Linked DNA regions of Rhinolophus ferrumequinum. The protein of the gene in region 2 interacts with the protein of the main gene of each other region in a biochemical or structural test. Links are inferred from orthologs where the notes say so. Each region holds a gene or a part of one and is shown on either strand. Other genes may lie near its edges.

Evidence for each region.
Region 1: the proteins of AURKA (region 2) and GADD45A form a complex in vitro, tested with the Homo sapiens proteins (2 studies listed by BioGRID). The link is inferred for Rhinolophus ferrumequinum from reciprocal best matches to the Homo sapiens genes AURKA and GADD45A.
Region 3: of the proteins of AURKA (region 2) and OTUD7B, one has a biochemical effect on the other in vitro, tested with the Homo sapiens proteins (2 studies listed by BioGRID, with this or other methods). The link is inferred for Rhinolophus ferrumequinum from reciprocal best matches to the Homo sapiens genes AURKA and OTUD7B.

The regions. Positions count from the first base shown.
Region 1 is NC_046292.1:49,812,206-49,815,951, reverse strand, and holds the start of GADD45A (growth arrest and DNA damage-inducible protein GADD45 alpha), read right to left. Parts: upstream 2,361-3,746; 5' UTR 2,132-2,360; coding exon 2,088-2,131; intron 1,556-2,087; coding exon 1,454-1,555; intron 1,233-1,453; coding exon 995-1,232; intron 799-994; coding exon of another isoform or gene 752-798; intron 1-751. UniProt on the Homo sapiens protein: In T-cells, functions as a regulator of p38 MAPKs by inhibiting p88 phosphorylation and activity.
Region 2 is NC_046306.1:5,116,597-5,120,342, reverse strand, and holds the start of AURKA (aurora kinase A), read right to left. Parts: upstream 2,385-3,746; 5' UTR 2,264-2,384; intron 1-2,263. UniProt on the Homo sapiens protein: Mitotic serine/threonine kinase that contributes to the regulation of cell cycle progression.
Region 3 is NC_046305.1:50,455,367-50,459,112, forward strand, and holds the start of OTUD7B (OTU domain-containing protein 7B), read right to left. Parts: upstream 2,296-3,746; 5' UTR 1,986-2,295; intron 1-1,985. UniProt on the Homo sapiens protein: Negative regulator of the non-canonical NF-kappa-B pathway that acts by mediating deubiquitination of TRAF3, an inhibitor of the NF-kappa-B pathway, thereby acting as a negative regulator of B-cell responses.

The DNA.
Region 1 (3,746 bases), on a different chromosome or scaffold from region 2:
CAATAAAATTTTTAAAAAATTATTTTTTTCTAGTTAGTTGGATTTCCTGCAAAATCATTAAGGGTAATTCTGTACTAAATTATACCCTGCGAAGTGTGAACTCATGCAACCCACTGAATCACATACATGTTTGCATGACAATTATTCAGTTTTGCATGAGTGTCATTCACAGGTTTGTCCTACCAAACTTGTACTGTGGCACAAACCTGAGTGAACAACTTCTGAGAAATATTTCTAGCTGCCCATACAATGAGATGAGAGCTGATAGCAGTTAACTATTACATAATTGCCACCTGTTATCCTCCAAAAAGAAAAAGTTTTTTCAGGAGTAACAAAATAATTGGGCTGCCACTTAACTAGACCAGCCAAAAAGTAGTAAAATATAAAAGACAAAGCTATCACATTTGCCTCTACACCTACAAGTTATCTACCTACCAAAGGTTTTTATCAGGGGGTTAAAAAAAAACAAAAAAAAAGAAACCCTCCACTAAAAAAAAAAAAAAAAAATGCAAGATTGCAGAGAAAAAATTTCCACTCTATCCTCTTTATGTATTTCTAGGGAATTAATGAGGCTTGTCTCCTACACCATTTCTATTTTTAGCTTTGACTGGCAGAGAATGAAGCTGACTCCTTAATGAGGGTGAGCCAGGAATTTATTTGGCTTTATCTAATCTACCCTGCTAAAGGAATTAGTCACGGGAGGTAGTACAGATGTAGGTAGGGAGTAGTTGGGCTGACAGTGCTGACTCACAAGGATCTCTTCCGCTGCTGGCAGCCTCCGACGTGCTTAGGCATGTTCTGTACCAGAGAAAATCCTGATGATGAAACTGGCACATCTCGGCTGAAAGTCCTGCCACACTCTTTAATGGGGCAAAGGCAGCCACGCGCTTGACGGGCACCTATTCTGCAGTCAGGCAGACTGTCCGCCCTGGCTCACTTCCTTCCAGTACTCCGAAACCGCGACGGGCGGGCCCGCAGTTCCCTTCTCCCTTACCGTCACCAGCACGCAGTGCAGGTCTGGGGGCTGCTCCGCGCCCTCGCTCGCCGCGGGGTTCGCGTCGGTCTCCAGGAGCAGGAGCTCCGCCAGCCGGCCCGGGTTGCTGACGCGCAGGATGTTGATGTCGTTCTCGCAGCAGAATGCCTGGATCAGGGTGAAGTGGATCTGCAGAGCCACATCTCTGTCGTCGTCCTCGTCCGCGGCCAGCAGGCACAGAACGACGTTATCCGGGTCGCTGCGGGCAGCGGGAGGGGCGGGTGAGCACAGAGGCGCTGCGGGCCCGCGCGGACCCACCCGGCTCCCGGGGGTCGTGCCCGGACCCGCTCGCTGCCTCTGGGGCAGATGGAAAGCAGCAGGAAGGGGCGCTGCAGGGCGAGGGGCACCCGGCTTGGGCGACCTCTCCGGGTTGGGGGTGGAAAGGGGTGCCACGAGGGACACGCGAGGGGCCCCACTTACACGTTGAGCAGCTTGGCCGCCTCGTACACCCCGACCGTGATGGTGCGCTGACTCAGAGCTTTACTCAGCACTTCCTCGAGGGCATCCCCCACCTTATCCATCCTACACACCGGCAAGAGCAAAGGGTCGCGTCAGCCCGGGTCTCCTCAGAACCTTCGGCGCCCCCTCGCCCTGCACCGCGACCCTCCCTCCCGAGTGCATGAGTCACCGCGCACCTCAGCTTCCTGCAAGCCCGGGGCTACCCCGGCCCCGTCACCCCCCATGACCCCTCGCACGCCCCGAGGCCGGGTGTCCTGTTAGAATCCCCGAGAATGCCACCCGCCACCCCCCCGCCCCAAGCGGACTGCCAGTCCCTGGCGCAGGGCGCAGCCACAGGCTGCCAGCCGCAGGAGCCGCACGACAGGGAGGGTCGCTTCTGCCCTTTGCAAAGGCAGCCTAGAGGGGCTCGGTCGGGTTCGGGAGGAAACACTCTTTCCGTCCGCCGGCGCCCCTCTGGAGGGTTCCCGTAGGGGAAAGGCCGGAGGTGCTCTCTGCAAACTTTTACCCGCTCGTTCCCCAGCAACCTTCCACAGCCTGGTTGCACTTTGGTGGGCGCAGCGAGTGCAAGTTCAAGGAGAGGCTTCGGCCGACTTACCTTTCGGTCTTTTGCTCTCCAGCCGAAAATTCCTCCAAAGTCATATTGCAACTGCAGGTCCCCCACAGAGAGAGAGCGGCGTGCGGGCTGCTCCTGCCACCGTGGGCACGCGGGCGCCGGCTCTGTGCACTCCCTCAGGCCAGGCTCCTCTAGCACCCGCCGCCGCCGCGCGGTCCGCCCCTCTCGCCCCGCTCGCTATCCGGCCCCTCGCCTCGCTTAGCCCAGAGCAGCGACGCCAACACCGCAGCTGCCTCACAGCCACTGAAGGACAAAGGCCGGGCTCACTGGAGTTATCCTGCTACCCTCCAGCCAACCACCTCTCGCCTCATTTGCATACGCGCAACCATTGGGCTATGCAAATCAGCTTGCTCCGACAATTTGACCCCAGCTCCTGGAACAAGGGCTGAGAGGAGCGGAAGGGGGAGGAGCTACGTGGAAGGCGAGCTTAGGGATAGGGGAGGGCGGGGTCCCAAGTAGGCTCTCTTATCCTGTGGAGGGGGTTGGCAGGACAAGGAGGTCTTTGCAGTGGCAAGGAGTAGGGAGGAGGGGTGTCTTCAGCTTGGGCTGCAGAACGCTGCCAAGTGTTTTTCTAGTTGGTGCACATTTTTTTTAATTGTCGTTTCATGTCTTTTGTTTTTAGGGGTTGCTATTAAAATCTATTTTCGGGGTTAATGCACCCAAGTCTAGTAATTATTAGTAAGAAGTTTACATAAAAAAGAGTGTGTGCAGACCTTTGGGGCAAAGTTTACCTCAGAAGTGTTGTTTATGTAAGTCTAGGCAAAGCTGCTTATTAGTAGTAGTATTATTTCGGTGCCCTGATGGCTGGTTTGATTTATTTTTGGAAGGTTGCAAGGGTTGGAAGCTCAAAAAAGAAAAATCAACACATTTGTGTTTGGTCATGGCAGGGAACCAAGTTGGAATCTTTTCCACAGAAAGCAGAAAGGGTTCCCACCTGCCCAGGATAACTCTGGAAAACCATGTTGGGGAGGTTCTGGCTACCACATGTGTGTATCCTAGCCTTACAACCCAAATTCACCTTTTTCAGAGAGCCTTTCCCAAAGGAGGATCCTTCTGCACCCTCACTAGCTAAGAAACAAATGCCTGACACCCACACAAGCCACAAGTCTAAATTCAAAATGCTCTCAATATGCCTTAAGCTTCCTTTCATAAGGCAAGTATGTCACTACCTTCCACAGAGAACCTGTGATCTCACTGTGAATTATTGATGTTAGATGCTGAATCATGAAGCTGTAGCTATAGGACCTTTTAGTCATATGCTAAAATTTCACCTTTGAGATAATCACAACCTGTGGGTAGAAAGCAAGCAGTAGTGACACATTTTTGAAAAGCAAACTTTAATGTACAAACTTTCACTGAATAGGTTGAAAGTTCTTTTCATGTTATGAGTTTATCCAATAAATTTTTAAAAAATGTCTTAAACCACTGAAGTCATCTAACATTGTGAAAATGTCCTCCATATACTTGCATTCAAAACAGTGCTTGCATTATTAGGGTCATTGTATAGTCAAAGGTCACGGAAGTAATTTTTTGCAAAGGTATATGAGAATTTTTGCACCTATATGTTTGTATCATTCTAGACAAAATATTCTCCAACTCTCTTGATCTTAATTTAGTGGAAAAGAAAACTGATAGGTTGGT
Region 2 (3,746 bases):
CAACTTTCTGACTGACCCCTACTATCCAAAACCAAAAGTCAATTCTCCGCCTCCATCTTACTTGCATTCTAGGCAGCATGACAAGCTCCATCGCTCCTTTTCCACTCCTTTCTTCACTTAGCTTAGACTTAGGCCTATGAAGTCTCAGAACCTGGACCCTGACCACCTCTCCATCCTTATCTCTTGTCTACTGCACACCAGCCATACGGGGTTCCTTTCTTTCCTCAAAGGAGTTCCCTGCCACAGGGCCTTTGCACTTCCTGTTCCCTCTACCTATAAGGCTTTTCCCCCAATAGAAGTGCGGCTTGCTCCTTCACTTCAGTCTATGCTCAAATGTCCCCTATCAGACCACCTCTCCTGCGTTTTTCTTCATATCCCTTACTTAACATTTTACTTACATAACATTACTTGTACTTGCTTCCTGTCTACCCAGACTCCAGCTACCTGTTCAGTATCTCCAAAGAGAGTAAGCTCCAGGAGAACAAGGAATCAGTCCCATTTTTTTCACTATCTCCCTCAGAACCCAGAACACGCCTGGCATGTGGCATGTATGCCAATGTATGGGGAACAAATAAATCCATTAACAAAGCAAATCAACCATAAAAGTAGTTTACAACACGTGGTAAGCCCATACTGTGAATCAGGCAGCAACCTGTCAAGTAAGTAGATCATCAATAAGCAGAAATCTTTCTGTATTTTTCTCACCCAGGTGCTCTCTGAATTCTAGAATCCAATTAGAAAGCATTCCCACACTAGGCTTTCACATCCACTTATTGTACATGCAAATCACTGCACCTTGAAGATGGGACCAGGGCTGTAGAGGTTAGCATCCTTATATCAAACAGTGGGTAGGAGAAACAATAGATAAAAAGGAGAAGGAAATATATGCTCATGTGTTGCAAATGTTAATCTCACACACCCTACTGCTTGCTTTCCTCTCCCTAACAATTAATTATAAGCAGCAGACTAAGGAAATCACGTAGACCTAAGGACACCTATTCAACGTTCTTCCACAGAAACTGCAGACATGGGCTCCACTTTGATATCCTTCTCAGGTAGATTAATAATAATAAGCACAAGGAATAAGATTTTGATCCAGAAATTCTGGAGAGAGCACCCGGAAGACAGCTTCTCAGGTGCTTCTGGTGTGGAGCCAAGTTCAGGAGTCACATGACCAGATGACCTTCACAAGATCCCTGCAGTTCAAACCAGCGATCCTGGTATTCTACACAGGAAAACTGTTAGATAAGCCCTGTGGGCTTAGACTTTTCCTTCCTTCGTGCAACCTAGTAATATCTGCATACATGAAGAGGGGTGGAGAGGAAATGAAATGAGGTATGTTGCTGAAAAGGATTTAATTCAAACAAGCAAAGCTGAGGAGGAGACATTAGACGTCAAGAGCAGTCGCTACATATACATCACAAGGACAGTTCGAAATAGAGACTTTCAGGCCCACCCCAGACCTAACAAATCAGATCCTGCATTTTAACAACATTCCCAGATGCGCCGGTCTAGATCACTAGTTGTCAAACATCAGTACCACCTGGGGAGCTTGATAAAAGTAGACACCTGAGTCCTATGCCCAAGCCCTTCGTGATTCATTGGGTGGGCCTCTGTGCTTAAGAAAAACGCCCAAGTAATTTCGATATAGGCGGTCTAAGGTTTGAAAAGCCCAGGAAGGCTTCTGACTATCATGGATTCACCCCCTCGTCCATCCAGCCAGGGCAAGGGCCTTTCCTGGCTGTTCTACCCAAGGCAGCCCCCGGTAAAGCGCACACACACTGTTTTATCTCTTTCCTACCACTCATCACTATTGGAAGTTACCCTTGCTAGTTCGTCGTCTGTCTCCCCACCCCCACTAGAAATAAACTCCAAGACAGCACACACCTTCTGTATTTTTTTCTTACTCAGGCGCTCACTGAATAGGAGAATCCCAACAGAAAACATCCCACCCCAACAACGCCATTAACGCCAGGTGTTTAGTAAACACTAAGCGGCATTTCACAGGGAGCCTTGGTACCCAGGAGCAGCTAGATGGGAGAGCGTTTGCAAAGCGCACGGGAGACGGAGAACAGGGAAAGGGGGACAAAGAGAGGATGGAGGGAGGGACAAGCGTAGGACAGAGGGGGACGGGGAACCAAGGGAGGCCTTCTCACCCCGACTCTTCCAGCCCGGGACTCGCGGCCTCAGTGCTCGCTTCCCTCTCACCCGGCCCGCCGCCCGCTCAAAAAGCCACCCAGCCCGGCCGCCTTTGCCTGCCCACCTCACAGAAGGACACCAAGGCCTAGGCACCTGTTGGCTCTCGCCTCCGACCCAAAGCCGCCGAGTCTTCCCGAGAGCCCAGCCGTTAGGATTCAAAGAGTCATTTTAAATAGGAGTTAAACTCTCTAATCCAAAAGCTGATTGGCCTGGGCTGGGGAGGCGCTGCATTTTCATTGGTTCACAGGCAACTCTGCGGATTGAGTCACGTCCAAGGACGGCAGACACGGCGCGCAGGCGTACTTGCGCGTTAGGTCCCGGAAGTGGTGGTGCCAACGGCCCTGCAGGCCTGTAGCTGTTCTAGCGCCCGCCGTGTTCTCCAGGGCTTGACTTTTGTCTGAGACAGAAGCCCCTTGGCTTCAGGGTTGTCTCGTAGGGGATAAAGTCGGAGGAGGTGAACGGACGGACCCCTTAAAGGCGCCAGTAAGTAAGATGGCGAGATGGACCGGAGAGAGTGGGCCGATCGATAGCGCAGCGCTCGGTGCGGCGTCCTTTGCGCGTGCGCAATGAAGGTGCGCTCGGAGTGATCAATCGGGCAGGATTCGCGCCTCCATTTTTCTAGCGGAGAGCAGGAGAACGTGAGAACCGGACAAGCGGGTACGAGGGCCCCGGATACGTGGAGAGTGGCTGGTGCCGTTGGCTGGGGCCTTTAGGGGACCATGGGAAGGATTGGGGTGAGGCGGGAAGGGTCGATAGTGAGCGAGGAGGCATGCGCCCTGAGTTGCCAGGTTGGGCCTGCACCCCCCCTGCTGCACACAGGCCTCGCTCCCACCCTCATTCCATCCTTACTTTGCCTCTGTGTCGGGACGGTAGCGGAGCGTTAAGTTCTGAGCTGTGTGTGTTCCCTCCCTGGTCCGTCTTCTGGCTCCTGGGTTGGGTTCTTCCTGTCCTCGTGCCTGGGCGTCCTCACCTGCAAATCGGGGGTGGTAATTAGGCGCTTACTAGCCCAGCGAACGAACTTTCCGTGGGAGTTGAGAAGCGGGGCTCGTCCTCTCTTTAATTTTTTTAACTCTCTGTGTACACCTCTTGTTGCTCTTGGCAGAAGTGGAGAGACGGGATAGAAAGCGATTAAGTTCTGGGCTCCGGTGTGGACGGTCTTGGCGGCCACTTTCACCTTGGACGAGTTACTCAGCCACATTTTACTTTCAGTGGGTCTCTTTGATCCAGTTTCATCATCTCTTTTGTGTCTACACAAGCATAGGTTTATATACATTCGCTTCTACTTGTACTTAAATACATTGAATGATGTTATGCAATGAGCTAATGCTTATAAAGTACTTAGCATGGAGTCTGGCAAGTGCTTAATAAATGTTAGCTGTTGTTCTTAACACCCATCAGTACAGCACAGTAAAACTCGGGCCCTGGGACCAAATAGACTGGTTAGGGTCCAGGCTGTGCCATTTACAAGCTGTTTGATTCTGGGTGAGTTAAATCTCTCTGGGCCTCAGGTTGCCCATCTCTAAAACAGGATTAGATGAGGATTGAAT
Region 3 (3,746 bases), on a different chromosome or scaffold from region 2:
TCCAAGTTGTTGGTGACATAATTCCACCAAGTCCAACTAATAATTAGCATTCGTTACTGGTCAGCCTGCCTTATACAAGTCAGCAGACAGCCCTTCTTTTGGCAATGTTTACCTTTTTTTTCCACAAGAGTCTTTAGTCAAATCAGGCAACAACAACAACAAAATTAGTAATAGTTTGGGAACTATCTTCCTTCCATCTTTCCTCCCTGCTTGAATGCGTAATGTCCACAGTGGATATCTGTTCAATTCTAAATTATTCATGTTAATGGATAATTATCAGCAGAAAGGTGCTGATACTCCAAAATGGAAAAAATTGAAAACTAACCTATTTCAGTTTTGGACTATCTTTTCAGCGTATTTACCTTCTCAATTATTCCTAGCACGAACTAATATTTGTGCTCATTTACAATCCCTAAGTACATAGTAACTGGCCACTTACTCAGGGAGGGGCTCTGAGCCATGCCTGGTAGCTTGTGGAAAGTAGGGCAGACTGGTATTCAGACCCCAGGTGAGCAGCACCAATTTCATTTATTTTACAGTTCTGGTCAGCCTTCAAGATTATCAACAGACTAGCACAGCAGTACGGTTACTAAACTTTAAAGAACTGCTCAAAAGAACAATGAGGACAAAGAGTATAATTGTTTGCCTATAATGTATTCATTTGTAAATTATGCAGAGCAAATGTTTAATTACAAGTCTGATTCTCCCCAGGCACCCGCTTAAGTCCCTGCAGTCTCTTCACCCCATCAGGAATGCAAGGTCGCTTACTACGAAGAACATTTGCAAAGTTATATAGTGTGGGAAATATTTTTAAAAAGATTTAGGATTAGCGACGCTTTGGGACTAGCCTTACCACCACCTCTTCTGCCTACTTTGTCCTTTCCCACCTTAGAAATAGGTTCTGAAAAACAAAGGGATCCGGCCTCCTCAGTGATCCCCTAACTATACAGCATGAGAAACCAAAGACTGAAAAAATTACCAGGTTCTGATTTTCTAAAAAGCATTTTATATACGTACTTATAGAAAGACAAGGAAAATACAAGTCAAAGTGCCGCTAATTCTTGCTTTTGCATTCATGAAAACTCCCTGTAGAGTTTGGGGAGAATCTCTTACATAAAATTTCCGCTTCTTTCAGCTTAATATTCATATCTGTATTTTGCCCAGAAGAGCCACCTACGTTAGTTAGACCGACTACCTAGACGGGGAGAGAGAGGGAGAGAGGGGGGAAAGGCGGGGGGGGGGGGCGGAGAGAGACAGATTGCTGGTCCTTGTGAGCCGACAGGCTAAAAATACGCCGGCCCAGTAAACAAATCCCATTCCATCCCGACCAGAGCCACACCGTTAACCTAGCAATTATGAGAAGAGGAGTGAGATCACGCAGCCCCCAGCTTACTCATCATCAGCTTCTAAAGTTTCCATCGGCTCATGGCAACTTTCCTTTTTTCTAAAGTTCATAAGCCTGCCCGAGAATCTCCCCCCCCCAACACACGCACACTTCTTTTTCGCTCCCTTCCTCCATTACTGGACGCACCTCAGTTTGGATATCGACGGGGGGGAGAGAACAAGCTGGTTGCCTTTCCATTTCACTTTTACCTTGAGACTTTAAAATGAACTTGATCCTACGATGGGGTAGTAGTAGCCTGCGCTCCTAACCACCTTAAAACTCCACCATCCCTCCCGGAAAGTCTGACAAGGGGGAACCGTCCAAACTGCCCAGCACACTTGAAAGGGAGGCCAGGAACGGGGGAGGGGGCGAGGAACGCGGGGCGCAGGTGAGAGGGAGGAGTAACGGGGGAAAGGTTGGAACGAAGCAAGGCACAGTGAGGGCGAGGAGGGGGTGCCGAGAGGCGATGGCTCCGGGTGAAATATAATCAGAAAGGAGAAGGGGGACAGTGGAGATCAGGGGGTCAGAGTTTGAGAGACTGAAGAGGTGCGAGGGGCGAGAGCAGACGGGGGGTGGGTGACAGGGCGGGGGGCTCCGTTACCCTCGCGGCTCCCGGGGCAAGGCCCTAGGCCGGGGCGGAGCGCGGGGCCCGGCCGCCTCTCCTCATTCCTCTGCTGTGACCCCGGGGTCCGGCCGGCCCCTCCCCCGACGACGATGGAAGCGGAGGCGGTGGCGGAGACTGCGACCGCGGCTGTTGCTCCGCACAGGATCAGGAGCTGGAGCCAGACGGGACTGATCCACACTGGCCTCCCCCAGTGGCTTTTTGCCTACTCCACACCCGGCCGCCACTCCGGCTCCGGCGACTGGTTCAGGATCGGTGATTTTCGGCCGTCCGGCCGGAAACAAGCGCCAGTTTCCGGCCGGAGCGGGTTGGTGGTGACACCCAAGCCGCCCCCGGGCCTCCTCCCGCCCCGCCCCGCCCCGCCCCGCCCCGTAGCAGCCCCGCCTTTTGCGCCGCTCCCGGAGCCGCGGCCAATTTGGCGCTTGCCCCGCGCGTGACCCCGTGTTTGCCTGGGCGCTGTTCCTAGCGCCCCTGGTCTGGAGAGTTCTTGAACCAGGGCTGGAGGGAGACAAGGTGAACTCTTGAGACTTTGAGGTGGACCTCGTTGGCCACAGCCCTTCGGGAAGAAGCAGAAAGGGGCGGGGGGTGGCTCTAGAAAGGTGAGAGGGATGAAAATACTTCAGAATGAGAAGACTGAAATTCTAGTTACTCTACTCAATCACTCTGGACTGACCAGAGGAAAATTAACAACGCTTCTTCCAGACGAGTCTCTGCCCAGTTATGCCCTCTCCATCCTTCGCTCACGAAGTGAACGTACACTTCTCTATAAACACCCGATATTTATTAACGATGATGCCCTATTGACACATCTGCCTTAGACTCAGCACGATCAAAGAAAAGTTACGTAGCACTTTTTTGGGTAATGCCTTTTAACAGCATGACAGCATAATTCAATTCAACAAATATTGATTGAGTCCCTACTGTGTGCAAGGCACTGCTCACCGACACTGGGAACACAAATAAAAGGAACAAGACAATTCCAGGCGTCAGGGATCTTACACTTTAGTAAAACACATAAAACTATATTCTATAAAGCAGAACTCACATACGTGCGGTGTGAGTTGCAATGGCCCTGAGAACAGAAGCTTGCCTGACACATAACAGACCTTCCGTGTTTGATGACTGAATAAATAAATATTAGGAGAATGCGGACTGTTTCAGGTGAGACGTGCCATTTAATAAATACCTCTTATGATAAACACAAAATGAGGCCAGTCCCTGCTATAGTCTGACCAAAGAAATCCTAAATTTTCATTCAGATTCCTAACATTATGGCACCTGGTCCTCATATTCTAAATGTTTATTGTCTACATTGCCCCTATTTGGTCTATTTAAAAACAAACATTACTATCAACTTTTCTGTCTCCTCACTACTTGCTGAAGTCCTCAGTTTCAAAACAGGAGGGGTAGAGCATAGATGTTTTAGAATTATCCAGCTCAAGGCTAGAATGGAAAATCGACACCTGAAACAGGAAACTTCCTAGACATCTGTATCTCTTGGGGATACCCTGGGTTTAGAGTTGAAGATTTGGGGCTGGGCCTAGGGCCATACCAAGTCCAAGCAGGTCAGCATGCCTTGCGTGAGGCACGCGCAGGACTAACTAACAATACAGGTTAGCAGGCAGAACCATTTGACCTGGGCTTCAAGCACGTGGGGACTACACATTTTGGCTACGGCTCAGTAGCAAATTTGAGGGGAAGAGTAGGATGAGAACTTGGTCATTTAAGTTGATCCGAACT